3 linked regions of the Tamandua tetradactyla genome follow. The protein of the gene in region 1 binds, or shares a complex with, the protein of each later gene. Links are inferred from orthologs where the notes say so. Each region holds a gene or a part of one and is shown in the gene's direction. Other genes may lie near its edges.

Region 1 (7,899 bases):
AAACCCAGACAGAGAAAATCAGCCTTTCTTCCAGAAGGTATCCTCTTACTGGGTGCCTTAATTTGGACATTTTTTGGCCTTAGAATTGTAACTTTTAATAAATCCTCTTTATAAAAGCCAATATATATATATATATTTCCAGCTTCTTTAGCAAACAGAAACACCTAAAGACAGATGAATTTAGTTAGCAAATACTCAAATTGATGATCTGGTGGACGGTGGGCCATGCTTAACATTTTGGGATATACGCAAAGAGAAAAGACAACTCTGTCACCTCAGATGAGTTTACAGTCCAGTGAAGTGTTTCCTACAGTACAATACTATCATTGGGGGAGAGGGAATACTATGATTGTGCAAATGAAGACTCCCAGGCTTTACCTAAGACTTACTGATTCAGAAATTCTAAGATGGGACCCAGGAATCTGCAATTAAAAAAGCATCTGCAATTAAAAAAGCATTCTTATGCATAGTAACAGTTGAGACCCATTGCTCTGGTAGGTCTGAGAAATGTGCACAAAATAATATTAGTCCGGAAAGTGCTGAATATGGGCTAGAGGGCCAGTCTTCTAAGGATACAAAAAACATTGAACAGTACCTCCTATTATTAATCCCAAATATTTATCAGAAACTAAATAAACAAATATTTATCAGAAACTTAGCTGTATCCATACATTCTTATAAACTATGTTCACTACTAAATCAGATTATGAGCTATCAGTTTTATAGTAAAACCCTTAGTGGAGCAACCTCAAATCTCTAATGATCTACTATCCTCCCTAAAATGCCTAATTCACTTAACGTTTAGTTTGGTTTCATTTAGATCATGACCCACTCATTTTAGCCTATTTTCTTCCAGTGACAATAGAGTTCATAAAGAATAATGTGGCAGTTTAAAACTGTTGTATACCCCAGAAAAGCCATGTTCTTTAATCCTCATTCAATATTGCTGTGCAGGATCTTTTGTATTGTATCCATGGAGATGTGACCCACCCAATTGTGGGTGGTACATTTTGATTAGGTGATTTCCATATTTTTTTTCCTTTGACAAAAACAAACAAACCAGTAAACAGGAAGAAAAGCTGAAGGATTAGGAAACAAGGGAGATTCCTGGACTTTAAGAAAGTAAGCCTCTAGCAGAATTCATTGGCACGTGCAGATTCTGTATAAGACCTAGCACTCTGCGTACTGAAGAATCTCCTGGGGAGTGGCTATCAATGCAGATTACAAAGAGTCTGACTTGGTAGAAGAGAGGCAGGACCTGGGTATCTGAATTTTTAACAATCATCCCAGCTGATTCTGATGAGAATGTTTTTGAGAAAGTCTTCGAGAGATTTAAGATATTATATCAGAACCTTCTTCTGAGTCTAAATCAAAATATTAAACATAGTAGATTGTCAATAAGTGCATATCTAATTGAATGAATAATTTAAACATAAGAAATACAGTAATTCAGTTCATCTAATCAGAGCCCATATGTAAGCTAGAGCTGGGAAACTGCTTATAACATGAATTACTGTTCTCCAGAATTAGGAGCCACCTGTAGTGAAAAAATAAAAATTAAAAATTAAAAAAAAAGACTTTAGTGTAAGCCTTGTTGTTCCTTTCAGAGAGTATATTAAAAATTCTAATTACTAACATTTAAAACTAAATATATGCAGAACAGTGTGTGTGTGTGTATGTGGCAAGGGAGATGGTTAATTAAGGATGTAGTAATGAGAGTTATTCTCTGACCAACAGTAATAATCAGAGAAATATAATTCTGGGAATCATATAAAATCAAACTAAATGAAATCTGCCCCTGGTCTAAGCATCCCCCATTCCTTGTGTTAGAATTTTAATTTCTCCATTCCCATAGGAATTAATTAGTGGACAAATTAAACAGCTGTAATAGTTCCTAAATACTAATAACTCACAGAGAACGGTGATGTTCTCATCCTCACTCTTTGGAGGAACCAGAATATGATTAGGTTCAGGGGTTGTAAGCTTTCTTTAAGTCTAGGAAGCTTAATTTATATTTTTATATTACATGCTATTTCTCAAATAGTGCAGAGACCTATACAACGAGCACTGGCTTACTATTTAATAACTTTGTGACCTTGAACAAGTCATTCAACCCCTCAGATGCTTCCTCGGCTGTAAAATGGGTACCCAAGCCTATTTGGATCCATGGCCCAGGTTCTTTTCACTAAGTCTTGATGCTTTCCATATCACAGCACCTATTTGAGGTTTATTTGGGAGGAACACATGAGATAATTTTTGTAAAAGTGTTCTGTAGACTGTAAAGCACTATAGGGACAAAGCAGATTATTATTAGTCTCTGATGAAGCCTAGCTACAAAAACACAAAGTGACCCAGCAAAAGAAACAGGGTAGACAAACCTGAACTATAATTTCTATAGTACCTAGACCATTACCTTGTACCTAGTTGGTAGGGGCTTAATGAGTATTGAGTAAAGAAAAACACAAAACACAAGTTTGTGCTTTCACCATATAAGGTGTGATGCCAAGAAGGAATAAATTTAACCTAAAGTCAAGGATAGTTTGACTCAATACACAAACCAGAATGCCTTATGAGCCTAAGATCTTAAATTAAGAAGTACTTGATACGAAAAAGCATTAAAATGTAAAAAGTGACCAGCAGGCTGCAATACAATAGTTATATTCTTGCCTCTTCAGTCTTTCTGATGTATCCTTGCAAGGATAGCAAAACATGGGTGAGGCTACCATATTTTTCTTTCCCTAGCTCTAATAGATCTGCATAATTGTCCAAGCAATCTATAGAGGAAGTAGCAAATTCTGCTGCATGTTGGGCTCTTTGACCTGGATTTGGAAGGCTGATTTTTTAGGGAAACCCTGATTTTAAGCAAATCAGATTTATCCCCTGTCCTCCCATCCCCATCCACACAAAAAGAGGTAGGGAAGAAGGGATAGGAAGGCAATTACTTATTTTATAAAACAGCTCTTTACAGGATTCCTTTGTCAGTTTCCTTTAGAATATGTTTAAAATGTGATTCAACTTTAAATACTTTAAATTACGTTACATGCAACTTTGGAAAAATAAAGCTATTTGTACAAGGGGGTAAACTCATATTGGGAAATAAAGAATAAAATATTTCAGGGGAGAAAGGTTTCTTCTGGGTGGGCCTTAACTACCTTTTCCCCCATTGCAAATATATTTTTAGGAAAGGTAACATTTTCAGAACAGAACTTTTTTCTTCTTCTATTGTTGAAATGAAACATGTTTGTTTTCAGAGCCACAAAAAATCCCCAACTGTTAGAAAAATGCTTCCCACAGGCGCTGGCCTCTCAGCTCCATGCATACTTTTCCGTTGGCCCCCTTCTCTAGCAGGGCCCCTGGGGCTGTCTGGTGAACTGACTGTAAAACCATTTTGTGAAAAAACAAAACAAAACAAAAATAAAAACCCATTTTGTGCAGTAAGAATTCACAGCTTCAAAATCTCAGAGACCACCCAGAATAGATCCATGACAAATTTGTGTTTCCTCAGTATTTGATTAGCTGCACAGTCAGTGACTGACCCAGATTTCTGGGTCTCTCTAGTGGAAGAGAGATGGGGGAGAGAAAAAAAAGTTTTAAAAGAAGAAAACTTCTCCTACCAAAAACCTATTCAAAGTTCATCTTATGTGTTTGTGTTTGGGTAAGGGACAGGATAAGTTAATTCTGTATAGAAAACCTCAACCATCCAAACGGTGCAGAAGTCTTTAAACTGTTCAGGGTGCAAGCACTGGCGCGAAGCTCACCATCGCATTAAAATCTGTCCCTCCCCTCTCTACACCAAAGCTTCCCGAGGGTGGGGGGGAACTGTCCCCTGCATTGGTCAACGGCCGGGAATCCTGGAACGGAGTCAATCACTGCAAAGGGAGGCAGCAACTCCTTGAGGGCAGGCCCTGGCGGTCACATCCTGTCGTCTTCCTCTCCTCAGGGCCTCGTCTCTCACATACTAGGTGCTCAATAAATGTCTGTAGAACGCAGAAGACGAGAATTCCTAACTAGCCCCAGTGCGCCGGACGGTTGAGGCGAATTATCCAGGAACGCGGGGTTTATTCAGACCCACTAACTCCTCACGTTTGACGAGGTAACCCAGCCTCGGCTGTTATGGCCCCAGCAGCGGGACACCAACCAAGAAAGCGAGTTGCTGGAGACAAGATGGAGAGGAAGCGGGAGAGGGAGAGGCCGCGTGGGGCGCGGGCTGGGGAAAGGCCAGGAGCGCGCCTCACCTTGGCGCGGGCCGCTCAGCCCAGCGCTCCCATTGACCAGGAGACCCGCGCAGTCCGCGCGCGGGGCGGGGAGGAGGGCGGGGCTCCGCAGCGCGCACGCCCAGCCCTAGGCCCCGCCCTCGCCAGCCTCCCACCCCGGGGAGTCGCGGGCCCGGAGGGCGCTGGGGGAGGAGAGGCCGCGCGGCGCGCGCGCGCGCGCCACCGCGAGCTAACGCGAGGCCCGACGCGCGCGTTTCCCACTGTCCCCTCCCTTCCCGGTCCCGGGAGCCCGGCGCGCGGCTCTGCTGACGTCAGCCGGCGGCTAGCGGTGCGGGGTGCGCAGAGCCGCTGGCGCACTCGCGCGCGGAGCTCGCCACCGCCCCCCTCCGCCCGGACTCTGGCGCGCGCTCTCGTTCCCCCTTCATTTTTTTCCCCCTCCCTCTTCACCTCTCCCTGTCTCTCTTTCTCTCTCCTCCTCGAGCCGGGGCTGGCCGCCGCTCCCTTGCGCTCTCCCTCTCTCTCCGGTGGGCTCCACCGAGCGATGCGAGCTCTGGGAGGCAGCGCCACAGCCGCTGCCGCCTGTTAGAGACCTGCCCTCGGCCCGGCCCCCTGCCTGGCCCTGCCCAGCGCGCGGGGGTCGGCGAAGGCGCCGCGGACGCACCCACGGCTGAGGACCGGCGATGCACATGCACTAGCGGCACCCCTAACTCACTCCCTCCACACCCCGCGCCATCGCCGCCGCCTCCTCCTCCTCCTCCGGCAGCAGCGGCAGAAGGACCCACCCTGCCCCCCACCCCACCCTCCACCGGCTCCCGTGGCGACTCCAGCCTCGACTATTTTATTTATTTTGGGTCGTGCACAAGCCTCAGTGCCTGCAGCCCGCGCCTTCCCGGCCCCCGGGCGCCTCCTCCTTCGGCTCCGGAGCCCCAGACCCCGGCAACCCTCGTCTCGACACCCCCAGACTCCCGCCAGCTGCCGCGAGTCTCCGCTACTGGAATTTTGTTAGCGGCTGTCTTTTGGGGGGGTCCTGGTTTCTCGACATTTTTGTTTTCAGCCAAGGGAAGGATATCGTGATTTTATCCCGTTTGAACCAGACTCTGCTCTCTGGGGGGGGGGTGGGGGGCGCGCCGAGCCGGAGAGCCGTGCCAGGCGAGTCGTGCGGGCTGTGGCAGGGAAGGGGCCACCATGGGATGTACTCTGAGCGCAGAAGAGAGAGCCGCCCTCGAGCGGAGCAAGGCGATTGAGAAAAACCTCAAAGAGGATGGCATCAGCGCCGCCAAAGACGTGAAATTACTCCTGCTGGGTAAGGCCCGCGGCTGCCACCCCCGCCCCCCACCCCCGACCCCGGCCACTCCGCACTCCACCTCCCCCACTCCACCCGCCCCCAGGGAGACCTGGTCCCGAATTGTCACCACCATGTGCCCAGGGTCGCCCACCCGCTTGCATGCCTTACCCCTCTGTTTTCCCTGGTTCCCTAAGCTGACACTCACCAGTTTTTCCCCCCCTGTCTGTGTCCCAACAGGGGCTGGAGAATCAGGAAAAAGCACGATTGTGAAGCAGATGAAGTAAGTCCTGTGGCATTGGGATTTGTACTTTTATTAAGAATTTTTTTTTTATCATATTACCTTGCTCACTGCCCGTTGCTCTCCAGGCCTGATTTTGAATTTGTACACACACTTCAATTTGACTCCCCTCCCCCACGCCCTACGTTGGTTTGGGTCCTCCACCCCAACTCCCGGGGTGGATGGTTTTTTTGGGGGGAGGGGGGAGGGGAGCGCCTCTAGTTGTATGAATGACGGTGTCCGCCATATTGATCAGACCATCACACTATTGGTATGATTATGATCATTACTCCTTCTCGTGGGGGTATTTGGTATGTCTCGCTGCCTTCATTTCTGTCTCTCTGTCTCTGTTTCGTTCTGTCTCTAAACCGCCCAACCCCCGCCCCTTTCAGCATCCATAACCCCACTTCCCCGTGCTCTTCTCCTGGGGCAGTGATTTTGAACTTGGCTAAAACATGAAGGGGACCCAGCCCTATACTGGGTTGGAGAATCCAGTGTCTGCTGTTCATGGATTTGGTGCTGAATTAGAGACTATGGTTTCTGCTTCTCTCTCTACCCCTCCCCCCCAAATAGGGCGAGGTTAGGGTTAGGGGAGGGGGCGTGTATTGGGGGAAGGAGGTGGATTTCCAGGCGGATGTGACTGGCACAGCTGTATCCAACGCTGAGGTGAAAGGGGGGCACTGGCTGTGAGACTTAAAGCCCGCCTCCTTGTTGCCCCTGGCCCCTTTCCGCCCCCATCCTCCCAGCGTTTGCTCTCCTGACACCGGTAGTTTTCGTTCACTCCATGGCCTTTATCAGTGTATTTATTTACACTCTGCATAGGCCGTGTTCCATGTAATCTACCCACAATGCGGATTTCAGTCCCCACATGCTGCCGCCCCCTTTTGCCTTAGATATCAGTTCCCCCCCCCCCAATTAACTGGGAGTGGATTTGAGTGATGGTTGAAAATTAAAACAAATGGGATATTCCTTCTCTTCCACACTTTCTCAATAAGGAACCTCGCCCCTCTTTTCCACTCTCAGGCTCGCTTCTTGCCCCCTCCGCTCGGTAGTTCATGGTGAACCCACAGGCTTTGCTTGGCTGGGGAGGGGGTGACCGGCGGGGAAGGGGTGCGCGCCCTCGGGGCCTCTGGGCCCGGCTGCTTCCGTTGACCTGTCAGTTTGAGACGGAGGAGTTCGTTAAGACTGTTTAGCGAGGATTCCACGTCGCTTTGCTATGACACCTTCGCGCACACACGACTCCTAATTAGGGGTTGCTGTGCAGTAAACAAAAATGATTATTTTTCAACTTGACAGGATAGCCGAAGTAATTGCATCCCGTAGGAAAACAATGGAAAATAAAAACCACTTTCGTGGGAAGGTGGGTGGGAAACGAAACATGCTTGCGGTTTTAGAAGAAACAAGATGCAAAAAAAATTTTGCATGTGTAACAGGCATGACAAGCGGGTTCTAGGCGGCGCCATGATGCTAGGGAGTAGCGACTCGGAGACAATTTTCCCCATCTGCTTGACATGTTCTTATTTTTGTTCGAGAGCTCCCTGGGGATTTCTTCTCAGAGGCCCCTCTGCTCTCAGCACCTCTTTGAGCCACGGATAATTTGGCCTGGGGCTTCTCTGGAGCTTGTGCAACCCGAATGGATGGGGATGCGGGTCCTGGGGAATTGCTCCTTGCAGCAAGGTGCAGGTTGCACCTGCCTGGAGCCCTTGCAGGTTGGTAAAGGCAAGCAGCGTCACCCCCTTCTCCTGAGGGGGTATGTTTCAAAACTTCAGAGGTCTGTAATCTGCAGTGGCGGGCTGAGAGCTCGCTAGAAACCCCAGCCACCGGGGTTGGGTGAGGTTTTCAGGCGTTGCGAGTGGTGGACAGCGCCCAGCCGAGGCCGGAAAAGTCGATGGGGCTCGGCTCGGCTCGGCACGGGCTGGGCGCGGGGCTCGGAGGGACTCGGCAGTGTTCGGAACCGCTTCGGAGGATCCGAAGGCATTCGGAAACGCTCGTGGGAAGATCCGGGAGGGAAGAGGGCTATGCCAGAGTCTGGAAATTAACTTTGTATTCTAAAGCAACACGTTACCTGCACTCCCTGAACATGCCCATAAATTAGGTTGATTTAATAAAACGTTTAAAAATAT
Region 2 (6,832 bases), on another chromosome or scaffold:
GGTGCAGCAAATAACTGGGGCAATAAGACTACCTACTCCAGGCAGACTTCCAGAAAACTCTGTCTGCAAACTTGTTCACCCCCTCAGTAGGTCTTGGAGTCTAAATCCCCATTGCCTGTGTAGTCTGAGACACAGAACTAAAGATTAACCTTTAGTTCCCGAGTTGCAGTGTCAGGTGGGCATTGGCAGAAGCAAGACAGTCAGTTTTGGAGGTTCTTACCCCAGGACTCCCAAGATTCCCTCGGATACATGCTGGCCAAACGAGGCTCTGAAAGCCAGAATAAACTGAACCCTGGGAAACAAGCTGCAATCACGCGTCCTCAGTGTCAATAATGAACCACATCATTAGACTCCCAAGGAATTCAGCTATTAGAATACTTAGAACATAAAATAAGAGTCTCCAAGTATTTGAGTAAACAAGAGAGGTAATCAGAGATGAGCAAATGAGAAAGTATTAAAAAAAAATGCTGCTAGATTTAAAAACAGAACCCATGAGCCCTGCAGCTGATTCACCCCTACAGCCTGGCAGGCTGGGACCCGGGGGTCACCTTTTACCTTCTCTTTCTCCCACACTTAAGTCCACCCCATCAGCGGATCTCAGTGGCTCAGCCTCTGAAATGTCCAGAACCCAACCTCTTCTCAGCACCCCTGGCACCCCCGGCACCCCGTGCCTGGCCTGCTGTGGCCTCTGCTGGCTCCTGCCCTCGCCTCTGCTCCCCTCCTGGCCTAGGAACTGTCCAGAACGGTCATTCTAAAGCACAGGTCAGGCCCCGTGACGGCTCTGCGGGACGCCCCCCTGGCATCCGTCCACTCAGGATAAAGCCAAGGCTGGTCCTTGGCTTGAGCTCTAACCCCTCTTTCCCCACCCAATCTTTTCTGAACTCATTGCTTGTAGATCCTTTCATCCATTCCTGCCCACGTGGGCTCCTTGTTCATCACAAGTGCCACCTGTGTCCCTGCCTGCAGCACCCCACCCTGCTGCCCGCCCTGGAATGCCCACCCTCCAATTCAAAAGGCTTCGCTCCCGCCCTGCCCAGTGAGTCTATCCCTTATCTTACCTTTCTTTCTTCTTCATCGTATTTACTACATGGCATATTATCATTTTATTATTCTTTTCATACCTTCTCGCCATAAAAATAGAAGCTCCATGAAATAAGGGACTTCGCTTTATTTGTTGCTCTATCTCCAGAGCCTAAAATTGTTTCTAACACATGGTAGATATTCAAGTGAACCAGCAAAAGAATAAAAATAGACTATATAACCCACTTCAGAGAAGGGGTTATTAAAAAAACCACTTAAAAACACAATCCAAAGGTTGTTACGAAAGGGGGATGGGCAGGGAAGAAGACGGAAATAGAAAACAGAGAACACAAACCAAAACATTAGAGACAAATCCATGTATGTCAGTAATCATGATAAATGAAAACGGCCTAGGATCACCAATTAAAAACACAGACTGTCAAATTGTATTTCAAAATGCTTATTGCTATTTTCAAGGACTATCCCTAAATCATAGGATACAGGGAGACAGAAAAAGATACAGCAGATAAATAGAAAGAATGTCAGAGTATCTATAGTAATTCAGGCAAATTTCCCTTTAAGGCAAAACAAAACATAACACCCAAGCATGTATTATAGCGCCAGCAATATAACATTAAAATAGTGCAATGCAACGTTGCGCGTCACTTAAGGGTGTCTGCGTGTGCCACGAAAGAGTAAACAAATGGCTGACAGCAGCAACCTTGGAGAAGGTGGGGCAGGCGCGGTGATGGGGACGTATATAAAGGTTACTTCAACTCTCTTGGTACTTTATTTTAAGCCAGGTGTTGAGTAAATGGGTATTAGGTATAATTTCATCATATTTTTTGCAGGTCAAAAATAGCTCATAATAAATTTTAAAAGAGACTCTCCCTCAGCCACATGATAAAGAACTCTCAGCGCAGGAGAGCTGCTCACTAGAAAAGGCCACCATGAAAGCCCAAGTGAGAGAGCACCTGGGGTAGAAAAGGCCACCGCTGGGCCAGGTAACTTGAAGTTCCAAGGCATCCTGCTAGGGACGGCAGGCGTAGCGGGACACTTGGACCAGCAAGTTCCTTAAACTCAACTTCACCTTCCAGAAAGTATGAATGAAATACGTATGTCTCTGGCAATGAATGTGTGTGTAAATGAAATGACAGCAAAACACCTGGGACACAGGAAGTGTTCCAACATGGCATGAAAATGTTCCTGGAATGTGGCAGAGCACAGTTAGATGGAAAGTGAAGTGAGGCACTGCTTGCCTCCCAGACTCCCCAAGGCAAGGCGTGCTGCTGCATCATCTTTTCCACACTTTTATTACAGTCCAGGCCCCGCTGTGTATCTCATTCCCCGTCTCCTACCAGACAGAGAACAACTCCAGGAAACATTGCATCCTATTCATCTTTGCATTACCCTTTTCCTTAAGCAGAGGGTCTGGCATGTAATGGGTACTCATTAACCATTTGGGGACTGCCAGAAACGCACTGGGGTTTATGAAAGTCACTATAGACAAATCGCATAAACTCTGCAAATAAATGAATCCATTTCAGGTCTCTAGTTGGGAACTCCTGAGATTTACAATCAAGGCTGATGTTTACTAACACTGCTCAAACGGCTCATTTCTTGTGGGCATATTCACATTTTATAGCAGTTGTGAGATAGTAAACACGTTTTCTCACTTGACAAATATTGCATATGTTGGAACTTCTGTTTGTCGCTCAGATGAATAACATAAGGCAAAAATGATTTAAAGTTGAGTGATGCGAACAGCTCCTTCCTCTTTAATCTTCTCATACACGTTTAAAAAGACAACTCAGACCTCCTGACCGTTTTTCTTCCGTGCCTATTTCCTCCCTGGCTGTGAGCTGCACAGTGTTGGAGACTAGGCAGCGATTTTTGCAAAATTCCAGCCGGCAGTGCCAGGGGCATTTCCTTTTGGCACACGAACCCGACCAACCCCGGGGCAGGAGGCACTCCCACTGCGGGCCACCCCCGAGCGAGCAGTGTGAACAAAACCCTCGGATCGGGAAGGTCTGCGGAGCGCGCCCGGGCCCACTGGGGCCGGTAACTGAAGCAGGAAGAGACCCAGGCACGGGCTCGCCTAGCGGAGGAACGCGCGGCCCTTCCCGGGCAGGAGGTGGGCGGCGACCCACCCCATTAGAATTCGTCCAGTCTCCGCTCGCGCGCTGTGACTTCCCGGGGACGTGGGAGGCACCCAGGGCGCACGGACTGAAATGGGCTGAGTTATCACTACCTCTCCCAGTGGCAGCAGAGAGCACCCGACCGCCAGCCGCCGGGAAGCCGCAGAAAGAGCGCGCTAGCCCCGCGACTACTTCCCATCTCTGCAAGAACCGAGAGGGGAGAGGAGCAGCTGACCGCCGGGAGGTGGCAGCGCCCGGGCGCTGACAGCACCGAGCTCCCTGCGCCCTGCCGCCGGGTGCCCAGCTGACCGCCCGCGAGGCGCCCGCGCCCGGCCAGCCCAGAGGCTGGAAGCAACAGGTGCAACCCGAAGTCACTCTCGGAGCGAGGGACCACCGGCAGCCAGGTTCTGGGGGCGGCAAGGCCACCCGGGGTCTCTCTTCTCCGCGACTGAGTGCCGAGTCCCTCCGCGTCCGCCGCTCGGTGGCCGCGCAGCAGGCGAAGGCGCGGAGGCAGAGGTCGCCTGGCGCTCCCCCAGCGCCGCCCGCGCCCCGCGAGGTCCGCCTCCCGCGCCCGCCCCACCGCAGAGACCGTGCCATCCGGCACGGTCGCCCCGGGCCCTTCCCGCCGCTCGGCTCATCGGGAGGCTCTGCGGGGCGCACCCGCGGGGCCATGGAGCTGGCGGCGGGGAACCTGAGCGAGGGAAACGCGTCGGGGGCCGAGCCTGGCGGCGCCGAGCGGAGGCCGCTGTTCGGCATAGGCGCAGAGAACTTCGTCACGCTCGTGGTGTTCGGCCTCATCTTCGCGCTGGGCGTGCTGGGCAACAGCCTGGTGATCACCGTCCTGGCGCGCAGCAAGCCGGGCAAGCCGCGCAGCACCACCAACCTGTTCATCCTCAACCTGAGCATCGCCGACCTGGCCTACCTGCTCTTCTGCATTCCCTTCCAGGCCACGGTGTACGCCCTGCCCACCTGGGTGCTGGGCGCCTTCATCTGCAAGTTCACCCACTACTTCTTCACCGTGTCCATGCTGGTCAGCATCTTCACCCTGGCCGCGATGTCGGTGGACCGCTACGTGGCCATCGTGCACTCGCGGCGCTCCTCCTCGCTGCGGGTGTCCCGCAACGCGCTGCTGGGCGTGGGCCTCATTTGGGCGCTGTCCATCGCCATGGCCTCGCCGGTCGCCTACCACCAGCGCCTCTTCCACCGCGACATCAGCAACCAGACCTTCTGCTGGGAGCTGTGGCCCAACGAGCGCCACAAGAAGGCCTACGTGGTGTGCACCTTCGTGTTCGGCTACCTGCTGCCGCTGCTGCTCATCTGCTTCTGCTACGCCAAGGTGGGGGGCGCGGGGCGCGGGGCGCGGGGAGGGAGGGAGGGAGGAGGGAGCCTGTGCGGTGGCTGTGTGGCCCGGCCTGGGCTGGCTTGCAGGAGAACTTTTTCCACTCCAGCTTGCCCTTGCTTCTTCTTGGGCTTGCCCGTCTGCGGTTGTCCAGGAAGGGTGCTTGGAGTTTGAGAAATTCTGGCGAAAGTTTACAGTCCACTTCCCAGATGTGCAGGAGAGCAGCTTTCCCTGCCTCGCTCCCCGGAGGAGCGCAGCGCAGCCCTGACGCCCCGAGGTGGCCCGGGGCGGCCGGCGCGCACCCACCGCGGGTTCCTGGGCTGGGTGAAAACCCTGCTCTGCTTTAGCGACTCTTCGCGCACGTCTGCCTGCGCGATGGAAGGAGGGCGCGGGGCTGGGGGAGCCCTAGGGAGCGCTCTGTGGGTCCTGGCCGCGGCCTCCGGCTGGGCGGGAGGGACCCCGCTGCGCGCGCTCCCCGGGCTGCGCCAGGGCGCCTTGTGAACGCAGGAGGCTAAGTCTAAAAGCCCGAGGGGTAAAACAATATTTCTTCACAGTCTTCATTGGAGTCTCCAGTGAACTCTGGGTGGAAAGAAGCTGGAGCTGTTGTGTTTCTCTATTTGCGTCCCTTTTAGGAAGGTTGTGGGGACAGTGTTCAGTGATTGGGGCCACAATAGGCGAACTCGGGGAAGGCACCCCCGACGGGGTGTGATTTCAGCTGAGGTTTCTTCCTTACTGCAAGGCGGTTCTCATCCTCCCGCGATGCTCTTTCACTAGTAGCACACGGTTTTGAAGATTTTATCCTGATCAAAAAGTGAAACCTTTTGACACAGCTGGCCACACTGGAGTTAACACACTACATATTTAATGGCCTGGGACGTGATTTTTGGAGTGAACTCTGACCCCCAACATACTCTCTCCTGCCTTTTCATCACCATCAGACAAACTCCTTCTTAACCAAATTCAGAAATTCCTGTCGGCTTTCCTTCAGCCCCCTCTCTCTGCCCCTGCTCTCCTTCTGAAAAGGTTTTTGCCTTTCGGGCAGTGGATAATTGGAAGATGTGAGAAGCAACAATATCTTCTATTCATAAAGTAGTTTTTTTCCTGACAAGTGCTTAAGCCATCTGAGTTTTCTATATCATGTATGTATAGTGTCTCTTTTTGAATGGTAATACTTTTGGAAATGATCTGAAACAATTCAAAGGGTTAGATCGAAAGAATTAGAGGATTTAGAAAATAACTCTAGGTTAGTTATTTGGAAGATGACACACCTAGTTACCTGCAAATACCAAAGAAAGGTTAGCTTCACCCAGGGCAGTCACCGTCCCCCTGCCACACAACGTGATCTCATTTAATCTGCACACCAGCCTTAGGGGTGGGCGGTGGCCCCTATTTTAAGGACAAGGAAACTGAGTTCAGAGGAATGAAGTAACTGTTTCAAGATTATGCCACAACTGAATGGGTCAGGGAAGACTTTTTAATGCCATTGAGTTATATTCACACACCACGTAATCCAGCCAAAGTGTACAATCAGTGGCTCACAGTGTCATCACATAGTTGTGCATTCATCACCACAATCAATTTTAGAACATTTTCATTATTCCAAAAAATAAAAAATATATAAAATATAAAAGAAAACTTTTATATCCTATACCCTTTATCCCCCCCTCCCATTGTTGAGCCCTAGTATCGGTACACGACATGTGTTACTGTTGATGAAAGAATATAAAGATATCGCTGTTAAGGATAGTCCACAGTTCACAATAGGTACGTTTTTCCCTTACACCACTCCACTATCAACTCCCTGTGAGAGTGTTGTGTGTCCGTTCCGGTTCATGAAAGAAGTTTTTTATATTTGTACAGTTAATCACGGTCATTGTCAGCACAAGAGTCACTGTGTTACCTGTTCCTATGTCTTATCCTCTCCTTCTCCTTCTCGTGCCATCTGTGACTCTATACCACTCCTTTCAGCCCCATTCAGGAGAGACTCTAACCCAGGGATTCTGAGTCCCCTGCAGGAGGGCCCCTTGGGGAGGGCCCTGAGTGTGTGAGAAGAGTCCAGGTGTTCCATGCTGTCAGTTTGGGACCAGATGGTTCTTTAACAAGTTTGGCTTTTGAATTCATAATCACCTGGATGAGAACCGAAGCGTCCTCTTCCTGTTTAGCCCAAAATGTCTTTAAGGATGACAACTTCAAGTCTCCTCAATGGGGCTGACGAGGGAAACTTGAAGGAGTAAATGGGCTACATTTCCATCATTTGGGAGTTTACAAATGTTGCACATGGGAAAAAGTTTAAAACTGGTTCTCAAAATTTAGTCAGTCCCTATTCACTGTAATA
Region 3 (7,633 bases), on another chromosome or scaffold:
GCAGTTCTGGTATCATCTGATATCAATAAAAGGAAAGCACGTTGCGTCAGTTGTGGCACTCTAAAGGTGAACTTTGAGTGATTGCTATTGAAGACACTGAGCAATTACCATTATGTGCTTGTGGACATTCTTTAAAAATTAACTCACTTTCTAGGAGAATGTTTGTCAATAAAAGCCTTGTAGGAATGTAGCACATATATTGATTTTTCCTGGGGCCTCTTCTCATTCCTTTCTGCAGAAATTTATAGGATAATGCCCAAGAATTTTTATAAATGAATCCTTTAAGCTAGATCAAATTTAGTGAGGAATCTATCCATGTCTTGGTAGCTTCCAGGATATGCTGCTTTGGAATGTGTTAGCATTTCCAGCTCTTCCTTGAAAGATCATTTTAGTTAAGATATTGGTAAGTGTGCGATCTAAGAAATTATGTGAATTCCCATGAATACATAATTAGTTCATTCTAAATTGTAAGTAAAATAGATCTCCCTACAAAGTAAAAATAAATTGTAGGTATCCCTAGACAACTTTTTTGAGCACAAGGAGTCACTGATTCAAATAATCTGGGGCCCCAAGTTTATAGAAACATCTGACAAAACTTTCACTTTGAACTTGGTAGGCCCTTATCTCTACCTCAGGGAGTCCAACATCTAACTTAGCCTTTGAGAAGGGAAAATTTAAGCTATCTGTCACAATACACTCTTAGGTAGCTGTTGCTGAAACTTTAAAGTTGACCTCATCCTATAGGTTCACTTTTGAAGTGAACTTTCCTCATAGCAGGTAGAATGCACATACACTACTTCTTTAAGTAAACAGGCACTCTGTGTGAGCTTTTCCTTAGGCATCTTAACACTGATTTATCTACATTGCAGCTGTTTAATATTTTGCAAGGCAGTGTCTTTTCTTTATACTCCCCCCCACCCTCATCTTCATATTCCCTGTTTGAAAGGGAGCTCTGTATTTTAAACATTTTAGACTCAACAGCAGTAAATGTTTTGAGGCTTCGGTTAACACCACCACTGCTAGGAAAAGAATAGTTTAAAACAGCTGTGATGCCAAACTTCAAGAAAACGGTAAAGAAAAAAAACAGAAAAGCATTGTTTGTTATGTCAGACTGTCACTAAACAGCATCCCTCAGAATCATTCCCATTTGTATATGAAAACCCCTATTGTAGGGTCTAAAAGATGAGCTTAGGATTTTCTAAGAGAAAAAAAAAGATACTCTTTTTTTATCTAAGGAATGAAGACTTTAAAATTATTCTCTGGGAAGGTTTGCAAGGAAAATAAATAACTCCGAGAAGAATAGCATGTCTATTGTGGTGCTCTTATTAGGACTTCAAAACAGTGAGGATACTGAAGTGAGGACACTGAAGAGCCCATTTTGATCAGTGATTGCCATTTAGTAGAGGTCCACTTTGACCCAGGAATGTTATATTTCAAAGAGAGGTCAAGGAAGAGAAAAAATTCCTTTGGCATACATCAGATAAATTAGCCCTCCTTTCCCAAACCTTAGGCTGATAAATGCTGTTTCTCTGATTCAATGCTTGAACAGTTTGTGTGAGAAGGAGACAAAGGGCAAGGGCAAGATCTCCTGCTCTTGGCTCATTTCCCCCTCATAGGCAAAGCCCTCAAGTTCATTTTCTAGGTTTCTTTGAAAATAGGGGAAACAATGTTATGACCACCATACCTGGTGAAAAATCACTTAAGTTGAACTTGTCACCCTCTTAATCCACTTCAGGATGACAGTAGTGCTGATTTGTGCATCTAATTGCTGAAGCGTAATTATTGCTGCACTGAAATCAACGTGGCACAATAAAATATGCACTGCATTCTCAGGAATGAGTCCTGTCATCCCTTTCACTGCACGTTAGTGGCGACCTTATTTACAGTCTTATTCAAAAGAAAGCTTTGTCAAAGATTCAAAGTCATCCCTTACAGGCATTTGGAGCTCTTCAGCACATGCCTAAAACCAGCCTTATGAGGTTGTAGGTAATGAAGTTTGACTTCACAAGTGGAAATTACTAATTTATTACAGTTCTTTGAGGTGCAAAGAAAGCATGTAGATAAAGGGAAATCCATAGACGCATTCTACAAAGTCTTTAAAAAGCATTTTTGAAAATGTTCCACACCAAAGGTTACTAATAAATGCAAAAGCTGTAGTGCTGGGATGGGAGAGTACACTTTAATCTTGGAAAATGAACTGGCTTAGGACATAAAAATAAAACGTTCAGAACATACATGATACTTTCTTATGTAGTAAAGGGAATTAGAAGGGGGAAAGGATGGGGTTTCCTGGGGTCAGTGGTATGATGTATTTCATTTAACATGCTTGTTGCATGATGTTTGCAAGCAGTGTCATTGATATTGGCAGGACTCCAGAATATGGGATTCAGTAGATCACAGGCATGGCCCAGGAGTCTGCATATTTAACCCTTTGCTGAGAAGTCTTAATTTGAGGTAATTTCCTACTTGCCAAGCACTCTTCTGTGAACTTCACATGAATTAACTCTACTATTCCACATAACAGCCCCTCTTAAGGGATATTATTATTACTATTGCTATCCCATTTTACATGCTGGGAGACTGAGGCACAAAACAGTTTAATAATTTCTCCTAAATCACAAAGCGAGTGGCACAGCTGCAAGTATGTACATAAAAATATTTTCAGTGATGACCAAGAAGAATAAAATTGACATCATTGCTGATCTTTTTGCTAAATATGCTTCTTCTGTTTGTTGTTCCTCTCCAAAAGGCTTTTTATATAGCGACTTCTAGTGAACAGATTATTTCACTTACCTATGGACTCTGTTTCATTAAGGCTAAGAAAATTGCTGTTAGTTTTCATTGACTAATTTATTGTTCTTTTATGGAATTACAGCTCTTGTCTTTAAAAAGGTATTAATAACATAAAAAGAACAAAATAGCAACAAAATGCTGGGTTTTGTGCTCTATTGCTGGTCAGAGGCCCATTTCCCTTCACCTTCTTCTTTGACGTGTGTGTGTGTGTGTGTGTGTATGCATGTTTTCAAAAAGATTCAAGCAACTACATGGATTTCTGCAAATTTAATGAACAGAAACAATAGAATAAGGAAGAAAAATATGAATTAATTTTCAAAAAATCCTCTAAGGGAGAAGAGATCATAAAATCAGATTTTTAATATAATGAACCAAATGCTGAGAGAGGCTGAGGATCAAGACTGGACAGAGCTGTCTCTTGATTTTCTAATGAGCATCTCATAATCTTCCAAAAGACTCTGGTGTATTTCATATGCCTACTTCCATTCAGGGCAATAGGGTTGGTGGGCTGTGACAGTGTGGAGGGCGAAAACTCAATGCTTGTATTTTAATGCTTTCTTTTAGGGTGATTTCAATCAAGCAGGACCAAGTGGGCATCATGTTCTACTCTGTGGTAGATATGAGTTCACAGAGAGGGCAGAAACTTTCAACTACAAAATTTCTATTCATGAATGGGATATATATTGCTTTTTAATCAATCACCTTGGTTGTCCATTGTTATATAGATGTTTCATATGTATGCCTTTCCTAGCCAATGAGACTGGAAATCATAAAGGAAAGGAGCAGTGGCTTTGCTATTCCGTATGGCCTTCAATGTCTAGTAAAAGACGGCGTGGAGAATTATATGGTATTGAATTGGACATATTAAATTAAATCGGTGGATCCTTAACTTGCTCTTTTCTGTGTCTGATACAAATTGGTGGATCCTTTACTTGCTCTTTTCTGTCTCTGATACAAGAGGCAATATATCTATTCAATTTAAAGTTCCAACTTATTGCAGAAGGTGGATGAGACAAAGTGCATATCACGTTATCATTTTTGCATACACATATACTTTCACAAAGCAAGTCTTCTCTGCAACTATACTTTAGAATCATATTATTGAACCTTTAAAATTAGAGAACTTAATCCAATTAATTAGAAGCAATTTGTGAAACAATGGGGTTAATACCTAAAAATAATGGATACTCTTCTAAGAAGGAATTTCCCTTAAAGAAATAAAGAAATAACAAATCCTAGGACTGGTGCAGACACAAAACGTTTGCATCCTGATTTTTTTTTTTCATGGAGCTCACAAGTTCCCTAAAGCACAATAAATACTCTGTACTCTAATACCTACTAATTGAAGAAAACATGAGCACTGACTCCTATGTAAAAGAAGAAAACATAATTACCTCTCCTTCTGACACCTTTGCCAATGTCCCAAAGAAACAATCCATGACTAGTTCAACCCGATTATATGTTTACAAAGCATAGTGGATTTATTCTAACATTTCCCCACCTGGAAAAACTAGGCTCAAATACCGTCCGCAATCAAAAAGCAACATCGAGTTCTTCCCGATAAGTCACGTCACCTTTCTAGCAAGCATTAACTTGCAGGAATGGGATTAGGTGGTGGTGGTAATTATACAGATTCTGAAGTAAAAATTGCAGATGGAGAATCGGTCTCTAGGATGGTCGTGGAGAGGGGCAGAAAGGAGCCTGGAGAAAAGGCCGTCATATTTGCTCAGAAGAACCGCCAAATCAGAGAGCAGAGAAGATTTCATTGGAGGAGCGCCTTCAACAGCAACTAATCCTGTCATATTGAAAGAAAATTGTAAATGTTCTCTCCAGAAATTGTCCGCCCCATTGCAGCTAATCGGACACACAAGCACGAACAACGACAGGCTCTCCTGCCATACCAAAGGCGCTTGGGCGCGGAGACCCGCTCCTGAGAGCGCGCGCGCGCGGTCACACACACACACACCCACACTCACACACTCATCCTGCGGGTTGGTCAGAGCCTTGAAATCGCACTTCCCACCTGGAAATAGCCAGGGGCGCCCGGAGAAGGTGTTGCCCCCCTCACTAATCACTACTTCCCCCAAGCACTTTGGCGAAGAAATGAATCCTGCCCAGCTCTTCGGTCCTTTCAGGTCTCGGGTCTATTTTGCTCTCCAGACTCATCTTCTACGTGAAAGCCAGGTTTGAAAGTCCGGTTGGCATCTCCTTCGGTGGTTTGGTGTGGAGGGCGGGGGCAGCGTCAATCTAACCCCAGTCATTAACCGCGAACGGGTTGCAGACTCGCCCAGTGGCTGAGACCGGAGTGGATAGCGCTACTTGCTGGCGCGCGCCCGAAACCCGCAGCTGCCCGTTTGAGCCTTTGGGTCGGTTTCCTCCCCGCCTCCCCCTGCCCCACCCCTCCGAGTGCCGCGGCACCAACTAATCTTTTCTTTTTCTCTTGCAAGATCAAGGGAGACGGCGAGCCGGCTGCTAGCTTCTGACTCCCGGCGGTGAGCCGTTCGCGCCCGACCCGGTGGGCTTTCTGCCCCTGGCAGCCTTTGCCAAAGAAATCGCAGCCAGTGGAGGCAACTAGAGCTTTAAATCTGCGGCAGGTAAGAGCAACCCTCTACCCAGTTCTCTTCTCGCTCGTGCCAGGAGCCCTGGCAGTAGCAGGGTCGCTCCCAATCCTCCTGACCGCGACGCGGAGGGGTCAGAGATTGGGGAAATTGAGGAATGTTTTTTTTTTTCAGGTGTAAATTCTCAAACGGAAACTTTGGCTCCTGGGGCTTGGTGGGCTAGAGCAGTGATGGCGGGTCTGGAAAGAAGGGGCAAATGAGGCAGTGCGCGCGGCTGGGGTCACTGCGTGCGGGCCGCGGGTCACTGAGTCCCGCGGAAAGTGGCGAAGGTTGCCTGGGAGCTGCCTCTGTCCAGATATTGCTCCCTCTTCCAGCCCGCCATCTGCTCCACCTTCACTGGACACCCTTCTACCCTCCCTCTTCCCCGAGATGCCGTCAAGGAAAAGACAAGCAGAGCTTCTCCCTCTCCCATAGCTCACGCTCCTTCCTGCCTGGGGTCTTGCTGTCCGCGTCTTGCGTGCGTTTGGGGTTGAGGCCGGGCTAGCTCCGGCTGCGCGCTGTTCCCCGGCTCCGCCTTTGGAGAAGCCCCTCGGGAGCCCTCTCTGGTTTGCTGAAGGGACGCTTGGTGCTGTGTCCCTTGAATCATGGCCAAGAGGAAGGGGTGATAAGACTAGGGAAAGGGTCCCAGGACAAGTGAGGGGGGAGTCTTCTGGAATCCAATCCCATTTTGGCCCAGCGCACGAGGTCGTGTCTACACTCAGGCTTTGGGGCAGGGTTTCAGCCCCGGAGCCCGCGAGATCTCGAACTGTGCCTGGGTTTCGCCATCCACCCCACGGTGAGCCTTGGGCCACATCCGCGGTGCCCGGTGCGGTAGATAAGGTCCCTGTGCACCCCGACTCTTCTCTGCCATCCACCTGCGGATCTGGGCGATCGCAGTTAACTTGTAGCTTGCGGAATTCGAGTCTGGCGCAGAAATCCACCTGTGCCTTCTGCCCGGAGCACTGGTGCACCCCCCCCCCCCCCACGAGTCAGAAGAAGGTTCACTTACAAGAGATCTCAGGAGGTGAAAATTTCCCCCAATTACTGACGGGGAGGTGGCAATGTATTTTCCGTCCCATTTCTGCACTCGCATCCCTTTCTCTGCCCTGGTGCCTGTTGCCGCCTTTGAGACTGCTCTGAGCCACAAAAGCCTCCAAGAGAGGGTCCCTGTGCCCCCTCCAGTGCCAGACAGTGAGAGCAAGGCACTTGCATATATGGAAATATCGGCGGGGATAGACTGTCAGTTCCCAGAGGCGGGAGGAGGGCAGAGAAATGGAAGCAAATGCTTAAAGCAAACAGAGCTTTACGCTCTCTCACCCATGACGCCCCCTGAACCCGTGTCCCTATGTCAGTTCACACCCACGGCATGGCTGTGACTGCGGCCCCAAAGGACTCCAAGTCTGTCCTCAGGCGCGGCGAGCCCAGCAAAAGCGCGGCGCCTCCAGGTCCTCAAGCTCCGGAATCCTCCACATTGACTTTCTATTTCGCGTTCTTCTTTTCTTTTCTTTTTTTTTCAGCTTTCCTTACTCTTTTTCTTAGCTCTCGGTGGCCGTGGGTAGGTGACAGTTGTGTGATTTCTCTGTTCCTCTGCTCCACGCAGCCAGGAACACAACACACATCCGCACGCTATGCTGTACTTCCCGGCTCCACGGCTGTTGGCGCCTTGTGTCGGTGGCCTCTTGGCTCCCCAGGGAGCAGCCCAGGAGACTAGGACGCCAAGTCCGGACTTAAGAAAAAAACCCTGGGTGACCAGAAAGGCCTGCGGCAAAACCTAAATTTGGGTTGGGGGTAGTCAAGAGGCTCTGGGGAAAACCGTCTGTGACACAGCAGACCTCCACCCCCACCCCCGCCATGCGGCCCTGCCAGACTTTACCCAGCGGCAAAGTCTGGATACCCTGGCCAGAGAGGAGGGGGGGGGGCGCCCTGCACTCCAATTGCGGCAATTCTGATGTCCCTGGATTAGGAGGGTTCTGAAAGTGGAGTTGCCTTGTAAACTCCCCAGTAATGAACCCGGGGTCCCGTGGCAAAGGCTGTGTATCGTATTTTACTGGCATTCGGTATATGTGAATACATTATATTGGTAAGCATATATATATATGTGTGTGTGTGTGTGTGTGTGTGTGTGTGTGTGTGTGTGTGTGTGTGTTTATATATATATACATATATAAATGAAAAGCATATATGGTAGTGTTTTGTATGTATTTATGTATATATAATACATTTTCATTGATAAACAAATTATA

Evidence for each region. Proteins that work in one complex are often made in the same cells at the same time.
Region 2: the proteins of GNAO1 (region 1) and GALR1 are in contact, whole or in part, in a cryo-EM structure (PDB 7XJJ), measured with the Homo sapiens proteins. The link is inferred for Tamandua tetradactyla from reciprocal best matches to the Homo sapiens genes GNAO1 and GALR1. Residues at the interface, in NP_066268.1 of Homo sapiens: Ser264, Asn316, Glu318, Tyr320, Asp337, Asp341, Ile343, Ile344, Ala345, Asn347, Leu348, Arg349, Gly350, Cys351, Gly352, Leu353, Tyr354; in NP_001471.2 of Homo sapiens: Thr70, Arg133, Ala136, Ile137, Ser140, Arg141, His226, Leu227, Leu231, Asn233, Ser235, Lys236, Lys237, Ser238, Ala240, Ser241, Lys244, Thr245, Thr248, Leu306, Ser307, Glu308, Asn309.
Region 3: the proteins of GNAO1 (region 1) and CHRM2 are in contact, whole or in part, in a cryo-EM structure (PDB 7T8X), measured with the Homo sapiens proteins. The link is inferred for Tamandua tetradactyla from reciprocal best matches to the Homo sapiens genes GNAO1 and CHRM2. Residues at the interface, in NP_066268.1 of Homo sapiens: Lys24, Ile28, Ala31, Lys32, Leu195, Tyr320, Asp337, Ala338, Thr340, Asp341, Ile343, Ala345, Asn347, Leu348, Gly350, Cys351, Gly352, Leu353, Tyr354; in NP_000730.1 of Homo sapiens: Asn58, Arg121, Cys124, Val125, Pro128, Leu129, Thr130, Pro132, Val133, Lys134, Thr136, Ile209, Ser213, Lys214, Ser215, Arg216, Ile217, Arg381, Lys384, Val385, Thr388, Ile389, Cys443.

Annotation. Positions count from the first base shown.
Region 1 is NC_135342.1:49,862,961-49,870,859, forward strand, and holds the start of GNAO1 (guanine nucleotide-binding protein G(o) subunit alpha), read left to right. Parts: upstream 1-4,884; 5' UTR 4,885-5,399; coding exon 5,400-5,517; intron 5,518-5,599; exon of another isoform or gene 5,600-5,736; coding exon 5,737-5,779; intron 5,780-5,920; exon of another isoform or gene 5,921-6,006; coding exon of another isoform or gene 6,007-6,047; intron 6,048-7,899. UniProt on the Homo sapiens protein: Guanine nucleotide-binding proteins (G proteins) function as transducers downstream of G protein-coupled receptors (GPCRs) in numerous signaling cascades.
Region 2 is NC_135344.1:5,348,237-5,355,068, reverse strand, and holds the start of GALR1 (galanin receptor type 1), read left to right. Parts: upstream 1-3,828; coding exon 3,829-4,494; intron 4,495-6,832. UniProt on the Homo sapiens protein: Receptor for the hormone galanin. The activity of this receptor is mediated by G proteins that inhibit adenylate cyclase activity.
Region 3 is NC_135327.1:179,711,383-179,719,015, forward strand, and holds the start of CHRM2 (muscarinic acetylcholine receptor M2), read left to right. Parts: upstream 1-4,629; 5' UTR 4,630-4,977; intron 4,978-5,091; exon of another isoform or gene 5,092-5,159; intron 5,160-5,240; 5' UTR 5,241-5,387; intron 5,388-5,393; exon of another isoform or gene 5,394-7,470; intron 7,471-7,633. UniProt on the Homo sapiens protein: The muscarinic acetylcholine receptor mediates various cellular responses, including inhibition of adenylate cyclase, breakdown of phosphoinositides and modulation of potassium channels through the action of G proteins.